Macaca mulatta: one gene and its partner. Each later gene encodes a partner of the first gene's protein in a complex. Links are inferred from orthologs where the notes say so. Each region holds a gene or a part of one and is shown in the gene's direction. Other genes may lie near its edges.

Evidence for each region. Proteins that work in one complex are often made in the same cells at the same time.
Region 2: the proteins of NLRP5 (region 1) and YWHAG are in contact, whole or in part, in a cryo-EM structure (PDB 8XI3), measured with the Mus musculus proteins. The link is inferred for Macaca mulatta from reciprocal best matches to the Homo sapiens genes NLRP5 and YWHAG. Residues at the interface, in NP_035990.1 of Mus musculus: Ser1030, Cys1031, Ser1055, Gln1058, Cys1059, Pro1060, Val1061, Glu1084, Phe1087, Val1088, Lys1089; in NP_061359.2 of Mus musculus: Phe201, Tyr216, Thr220, Met223, Gln224, Arg227, Asp228, Thr231, Ser235.

The regions. Positions count from the first base shown.
Region 1 is NC_133424.1:68,394,627-68,398,477, forward strand, and holds part of NLRP5 (NACHT, LRR and PYD domains-containing protein 5), read left to right. Parts: intron 1-415; coding exon 416-583; intron 584-3,545; coding exon 3,546-3,716; intron 3,717-3,851. UniProt on the Homo sapiens protein: Component of the subcortical maternal complex (SCMC), a multiprotein complex that plays a key role in early embryonic development.
Region 2 is NC_133408.1:49,994,644-49,999,169, forward strand, and holds the start of YWHAG (14-3-3 protein gamma), read left to right. Parts: upstream 1-1,398; 5' UTR 1,399-1,637; coding exon 1,638-1,724; exon of another isoform or gene 1,725-4,526. UniProt on the Homo sapiens protein: Adapter protein implicated in the regulation of a large spectrum of both general and specialized signaling pathways. Binds to a large number of partners, usually by recognition of a phosphoserine or phosphothreonine motif.

The DNA.
Region 1 (3,851 bases):
TACGTGCCTGTAATCCCAGCTACTTGAGAGGCTGAGGCAAGGGAATTGCTTGAACCAGTGAGGTGGAGGTTACAGTGAGCCAAAATTGCGCCACTGCACTCCAGCCTGGGCAACAGAGCAAGACTCTATCTCAAACAAAACAAACAAAAACCTTGTGTTACTGAAGCAGGTTCCTTGACACCAGGTTTGGACGGGTTTGGATGGATTAAGCTCTTCAAGGCAGGGATTGTTAATACTGCTTCATACGCTATTCCCAGTAGCTGGCCCATCACAGGCACTCAGGTATTCGTTGCTTTACAAGGAAATACAATTAGAAATTTGCAAGTTAGAATGGGAGAAGGATGGGAAGGATAAGTGAGGTCACAACAAAACGTCACCAGTGTCACATGCATCTCCCGTTTCCCGTCTCCTGCAGGTTTAGGAACGCACAGATTGCCTCTGGTCTGCAGCACCTCTGGAGAACCCTCATTGCCAACCGTAACCTAAGATCCCTCAATTTGGGAGGCACCCACCTGAAGGAAGAGGATGTAAGGATGGCGTGTGAAGCCTTAAAACACCCAAAATGTTTGTTGGAGTCTTTGAGGTGCGTCTCTGGTAGGGCTTTTGCCTTTTGTTTCTTCGTTTTTGCTTTTGTTGGAAATAATTACAGAAAGAGGCAAAAATTAAAGAGCTGAAAAAGTTTTGGTGGTGGATGGGGGTGATGGTTGCAGGAGTTTAATGCCACTGAATTGCACACCTAAATAATTAAAATAGTCCATTTTCGGTTATAAATACTTTATCACAATAAAAAAAAACCTCAAAGTTTCATTTAAAAATTTTTATGCTTGGGAGGCCGAGGCGGGGACAGATCACAAGGTCAAGAGATCGAGATCATCCTGGCTAACACGGTGAAACCTCGTCTCTACTAAAAATACAAAAAAAAAATTAGCCGGGCGTGGTGGCGGGTACCTGTAGTCCCAGCTAATCAGGAGGCTGAGGCAGGAGAATGGCCTGAACCTAGGAAGCAGAGCTTGCAGTGAGCCGAGAGGGCACCACTGCACTCCAGCCTGGGTGACAGAGCGAGATTCCATCTCAAAAGAAAAAGAAAAAGAAAAAAATTATGCAGAGGCAAGGTCTCATTCGGTTGCCCAGTCTGGTCTGTTTTTTTGTTTGTTTGTTTGTTTGTTTGTTTTTGAGACGGAGTCTCGCTCTGTTGCCCAGGCTGGAGTGCAGTGGTGCGATCTCGGCTCACTGCAAGCTCTGCCTACCCGGTTCATGCCATTCTCCTGCCTGAGCCTCCCGAGTAGCTGGGACTACAGGTGCCCGCCACCACGACCGGCTCATTTTTTTTATTTTTCTTTTTTTTTTTTTTTAGTAGAGACACAGGGTTTCACCATATTAGCCAGGATGGTCTTGATCTCCTGACCTCATGATCCGTGCACCTCAGCCTCCCAAGGTGCTGGGATTACAGGCGTGAGCCACCGTGCCCGGCCTTGACAATGCTCTTACAGTGAAGTCAGTGTGGTATGTCGTCGCCTGAGACGGGCTTTGCTCCGTCAGTGCTTGAGATCCACCCAAGCAGTCAAGTGTTCGACATTTTCTTCCTTTCTCTTGGCGACAGCCATTCGATGCTATGAAGTACTGCAGTTGAACCATTCCCCTGTCCAGGGACACGTTGGTTGGTTGGTTGGTTCCGGTTTGGGGCTCTCACTGTGGTTTGCAAGTCCTGGGAAGGTGGTTTGTTCATTAGATTAGCTTGGTCTAGAGATACAACTATTTAATGTTTATGTAGTATTCTTTTCCTTTTTTCTTTTCCTTTTTTTTTTTTTTTTTTTTTTTTTTTTGAGACTGAATCTAGCTCAGTTGCTCAGGTTGGTGTGCAGTGGTGTGATCTCAGCTCACTGCAACATCTGCCTCCCGGGTTCAAGTGATTCTCCTGCCTCAGCCTCCCGAGTAGCTGGGATTACAGGCGTGCACCACCACACCTGGCTAATTTTTGTATTTTTAGTAGAGATGGGGGTTTTACCATGTTGGCCAGGCTGGACTCGAACTTCTGACCTGAAGTGATCCACCTGCTGCACCCTCCCAAATATTCTGAGACAGACAAGTACAAGCCCTGCTTTGAGCTTTGTTAGTTGGCACATCAACTAACATCAAAGAATAATAAGAATTTGCTTTGCACCGTGTGTGTTTGCCTGGTAGCCAAGGAACTGTACTTTAAAAAGATGTAACCCAGGGAAATTGGCCAAAGCATAGACATCGTCTCAGGACGGAAATGCTGTGCCTGACCTCACGTGGGGTTTATCTGGGAACAGATTGGAGGAAGCTACATGCTCACTCTTTTGCTCACTCTGCACCACAAGTGCAGAGAGCTGGAGCTTGGATTCAAAGAATAAATATACACGTTGTCAGAAAAGATGGATCTAGGCTATTTGGGGCCAAGAAAGGAAAAAGCATTGAAGTCACTTAGGTCCAGTTTCCTGGAAGTCTAATGAATTTCCCTTCTCATAACACACAGGGGCAGGGGTATTGTTCTATTCTCTTCACTCCTGTAGCCCCAGAACCTAGAACTGCTCTATTCCCAACACTTGGCCCGTATTCCCCAAAGTATTTATTGTACAGAGGGATGGGATGATGAGCTAAGTCTCTAAACGGTAGACTTTGACATTGAAAGATGGATTGGGCCACATTGTGAAGGGTTTCCATTCACTGTCACATTGAGGAGTTGGAACTTTCCTTTATTCAATAATGACAGATGCTTGATTCTGTGTGTAGTACTACGACAAGTTCCTGGGATGTGCTGATGAGTGAAACGAGATTCCTGCTCTCCTGATGCTCACAGGCCAGCACAGGGAGAACAAAACAAGACAGAAAGAATGATGTGTGCACACATGGCAGGAGCATGTGTAGGCTTGGAGAGCTCTAAAAGTTCTGTCTAAAATTCAACACAGGCCAGGCACAGTGGTTCACACCTGTAATCCCAGCACCTTGGGAGGCTGAGGCAGGTGGATCACCTGAGGTCGGGTGTTCAAAACCAGCCTTGCCAACATGGTGAAACCCCGTCTCTACTAAAAATACAAAAATTAGCCGGGTGTGGTGGAGGACACCTGTAATCCCAGCTCCTCGGTAGGTTGAGGCAGGAGACTTGCTTGAACCCGGGAGGCGGAGGTTACAGTGAGCCAAGACTGAGCCACTGCGCTCCAGCCTGGGTGACGAGAGCAAGACCCTGTCTCAAAAAAAAAAATAAAAATAAAAGGCTGGGGTGCGTTGCTATGAATGTTGAAACAATGGAGGGAGGTGGGGCAGGCACTGTTTAAGGTGTGGCTTACCCGAAAGGCGACCTTCAAGAGACATGAACGAGGACATGAGCCCCATGAAGACCTGAGGGAGGGGGGAGGAGGGGAGGTTGCAATGGAAGGAATAGCAAATTTTCAGGCCCAGAGGCAGGAGCAGACAGAGTCTGAGGACCAGGAAAATGGCCAGTGCCACTGGCGTGTGCTGAGTAGAGGGGAAATGGGCTGCTTTGGGCGAGAGCTGGGATTGCTTCATGCTGCCTGTCTCTGCAGGCTGGATCGCTGTGGATTGACCCACGCCTGTTACCTGAAGATCTCCCAAATCCTTACGACCTCTCCCAGCCTGAAGTCTCTGAGCCTGGCAGGAAATGAGGTGACAGACCAGGGAGTGACGCCTCTCAGTGATGCCTTGAGGGTCTCCCAGTGCGCCCTGCAGAAGCTGACGTGAGTGCCACTTCCTTTCCACCGGGATTATGGTAACTTCGATTCTCCAGTCATGGTGGGAGGGGAATGAGCAGATGCACAAACAGGGTGAGGAAGGAAGTTGGGACCTCCCGAGACTGCCCCCAGAGTCAGGGC
Region 2 (4,526 bases), on another chromosome or scaffold:
TTTTTTTTTTGAGATGGAGTCTCGCTCTGTCACCCATGCTGGAGTGCAGTGGCACGATCTCAGCTCACTGCAACCTCAAAGCTCACGTCTTATTGACTTCTAGCATACTGTACATATCTTGCCTATTTTCTTGGGAAGGGATTTTTTTCTGTTTTGTTCACTACTGTACCTTGTGGCTTAGAATAGGGCTTGGAACACAGTAGCTTCTCACAGATAATTGTTGAATACATAAAGTAAATAAAATGTGTAGTCAAAACTATGGGGCCTGCAGGCATGGTGGCTCACATCTGTAATCCCAGCACTTTGGGAGGCCGAGGCGTGAGGATCGCTCGAGCCCAGGAGTTCGAGACTAGCATGGGCAACAAAGCTAGACCCTCGTCTCTACAAAAAACAAAACAAAGCAAAAAAACCTAGTCTATCTTTAAGCTACGTGGAATAATATGAACGAGAATATATCAGCGTGACCTCAGTAGGTACGTATGCCTAGGAGGGGAGAGAAGGGCTGGACAACTAAGCCCCAGACACAGCCCGTTAAGGCGTGGAGTAGGCTCCTGGTAGCTGAACTGAATCTTTAGCACTCCACCCTGGAGAGGAAGAAGGGGTTCTCCAGGGTCAGCCAGCAGGCAGCTGCATCCTTTCTGGAAACCAACCAGTGTGGCCAGCCGGTATTTGTCGTTCGTCCTTGTTTTCACCTAGTCAGGCCCAAGAGCCTCAAGGTGGGGTGGGGGGTTAGTGGAAGCTCGTAGGGGGAGGAGGTGACAGTCCCCCGAGTCTGGCCCCTTAATTCAGCCATCCCGCGGGCAGGCACCACACTGAGAGTCTGGATCTACAAAGGACGCGCCTCCTATCCTTCCCCCACCACGACCTGCTACGTGATCTCGGAAACAGGGTCTAGGACTGAGGCCCCTGCCCCCTCCTCTCGTAATTTCCCGGAGAATATGGGGCGGGGCGGTGAATCAGCACTCGCAGGGACTGATGCAGCCCTGATCCCCGCCAGGGGTCCCCAGCGGCCTCGGGATTCGAACCACCCCCCCAGTCCTCCTGCGCCTGCGCGCTACCTCCGCTGGGAGTTGTAGTCTTGACCGCCCCTTTGTCCTCGGTCTTCTCAACGCCTCGGCCCACGGCAGGTTACACTACAACTCCCAAGGGCCCATGCGTCGGAGGCCTGGCGGGGCGGGGGGCTGAAGGGAGAGGGATAAGGGGGCGTCTGGAGAAGCTGGGGTGAGGGAACTGAGGAGTGAAGTGAATAAAGAGGAGAGTGGGGGCGCAGTGGGAAAGGACGTGGTGCCCGGAAGACGCGCAGTGAGCCGAGTTGGGGAGCGGGGAGCTCTAGCCGCGGCCGGGCCCGGGCGGGGCCTGGGCGGGGCTTGCGGACGAGCGGGCGGGGCCTGCCTGCGTCATGCGGCGTGGGCGGGGCCGCAGGGGGTTGTCCGTCCGTGGCACGCACAGCAGCCGCAGCCGCCTCGCTCCCGGTCCCGCGGTCGCAGCTCCAGCCGCCTCCTCCGCGCAGCCGCCGCCTCAGCCGCTCGCTCCGTGGGTCGGTCCTCTCCGGCACTTGGGCTCCAATCGCGCCCTCCAAGCCCTTCACGCCACCCCAGTGTCCTCCTCCTTCTCCGGCCAGACCCAGCTCCGCGAAGATGGTGGACCGCGAGCAACTGGTGCAGAAAGCCCGGCTGGCCGAGCAGGCGGAGCGCTACGACGACATGGCCGCGGCCATGAAGAACGTGAGTGTCTCCTCCCCTCCCCCGCCGCTCCCTGCCCCTCCGAAGACGCGGTCCTTGGCGTGGAAGGCCCGGGGCTTCGTCGCCCTGTCGCGATGGTGGGGTGACCGCCCCGTCTCGCTCACTGAGGGGGGCCGGGGAGGGTCCCCAGAGCCGACGGGAACACGGGCTGTGACGCGGCCTCTCCTCGGCGTCCCCGGGGCCCCGCGGCGCGGCCTCTCTGGCCCGGCGCGGGCGCGGGGCGGGGCGGGGTCCTGCGGGGCTGGACTTGGGAGCGGGGTCTCCGGTCCCAGCGGCTCTAGGGGTACAGGGGATCCGAGCGGGGAGGCGTGCGCATCCTTTGTGCCCCACTTCCCCCCTCCTCCCAGCCCGGGCGTGGGGGCGGGGGACCGCATGGATGCGGTTCCTCTTTCTCTCCCTGGTGTCTGGGCGGCGCCTTTCCCATTCACTCAGCAGGTCTCCCGGTTTTCCACCTCCCCAGCCCCCCCAAAATCTTCCCCACTGTCTGTCCCGACAGATCCCTGTGAATCTTCCCAGAAACATTGTATAGGGTCTCTTGAAAACCTGAGCTCCGTGGCGCAAAATCGAAACCACCTTGCTCACGTTTTTCTTAACAAAAGGCTCTTCTTTCTCCATTCCCCCAAAGCAAGTCCTCCGGCTTTTAGGAAGGGGGAACGTTTGTCTCGCTAGCGTTTTCGTTGATCGTTTTCAACATGTCATCTCCATTTTATTCCCTAATGTTTTTGTATTGAAAAGGGTAGGTATTGCCTGTAAAATAAAAGGTGGTGAATGTAGCTGACTGGTTCGATCCGTGTGACATATGCCGTTTCTTTTTTGAATACAGGCACGCGTCTGTGAAATTCCTATAAGTTGGGGGAAAAAATATTCTGTCTGATCTGATAGTGCAAACAAAGCGGTGGTGAGAGGCAGTATCAAGTCATTCCAGAAGATTCTGCATTTGTCATATTGCAGAGAGCCTAGACTGGGTGGAGGCTGGGAGGAGTTATTTTAAAGGGGAAAAAGTCTTTTTAAAAATTTTTGGTCGTTAGATGCATCTGAGGCTTTTTTTTTTTTTTTTTTTTTTTTTTAAAGCGAGTACGTCTTCATGCTGATGAAAAGAGAATACTGATCTCCAGTTGTCGCATTTTGTCTGGGTTGCAGATTCCTCCCTGTATTGCACCATTTTGTCAGTAACACTACATTTATCTAATGGGCTGTCAACCAGTTTGATATTAGAGGAGGGGGAAGTATTGAACATTATGAAATGAAAGGTAGAAAATTAATGATTTCGGGCCCCCACTATCTTAATATTTAATTTCCTGCCTTATGTAACAAAGGTTTTTCAAATGCATCTCCATTGTAAAGTGGATGCTGGAGTGTACCTTGCATGTTACATCTTTTAAATGAAGCATTATTGATATTACAGATCAATTCTTGAATAACTTTACTGGTTCTCAAAAGAGGACAATGCTGATACCTTTACATTTAAACCAGGTATTTTAACAAAGAAATGTTTTTGTCTTATTAAAGAAGAGAACCGGTTCTGAAATTCGGAATACTGCTATGGCCACAGCTGCTGTCTTACAAGGTTTTAATGCTCAAATGATGTAAGTTGCACTTCTAATGGGTATCAGTATTGGAAATATCTTCAGTTCGTGTTATTTAATTTAGACTCTTCTAATTTTTCCGTATTTCTAGTTCCACAGGAAAGCGAGTGACCTCGCACCTATATCTATAGCAACCAAGTGATGTCACACACAATGACACAGAGGCTGCAATGCACCTAAGGGCTGGTAGGGAGTGTGCAAATGGCATTTATCCAAGGTAATGCAGAAATTAGCCGATAAGCCAGGTGGAATCGAGCACTTCATATTCCACCAGATAAGAATTAGTCCAAAAAATAAGGATTTCATTTACCCTTAAACATGCAGATCCCTGACCTCTAGCTAGGCCTTGTTCACCCTATTGCTAGCTTTCTCACAAAAGTTTATAAGATGCTTTTTTTATATTTTTAAACATTCATCTCACTTATTTAAAATACTGGGCAATAATGGAATAAAAGTAGAAATTTTAAACGATAATATATTTTATGGAATGAAAGTAGAAATTTTAAACAAGAATATAGTTTACGATAATAGTGCAGAGATGAGATGTGTACTTGTGTTTATTTCAGATAATGAATTTGGCAGGTTTTAATAAAAACCTTAAAAAAATGATGACTTTCTACTGAGTCATTTTCAGTTACTGTTAGGGAATGAGAACCAGTTCCAAAACCTTTTAAATCGAGGTTTGGGAAGTTTGTTTTTTACTAGATTTGTGCTTCTGCTCCTTCACAGTATAGAGGAAAGAACAGTTTGTAAAATAAAAACCTTTTTTCAACTCTGTTTCCTGTGACTTTAAGGAAATAGGCCCTGTCCCTCATTTTCCTCATCTATAAAATGGGACAGTACTTGAAAAAGTTGTGCGGATTCAATAAGAAATGTAGTAGGTGTTCCCAAATGGCAACTACCTAAGAAATTGTCTTCCTGTTTATAAAAGTCATCATGGAGAATTTGGAAACTGCAGAGAAAGAACCCAGTCTTACCACTCAAGTGAGCTCTCTTTTAAGGCCGAAATCATCCTGTTGATGGATTAAAATTTATTTGAGTTTAATGAAATTATCCTAGTGCTAACACTATTGGAATCTGTGCAGAATGATAGTTCTGTGTGGGCAACCAGGACAGAAATACTGTATTATCCAGTATTTTGAAAAGAAGGAAAGAGGAATGTTAGGTCTTTTAAGACACTTGTTTAGTCTTGTATTGA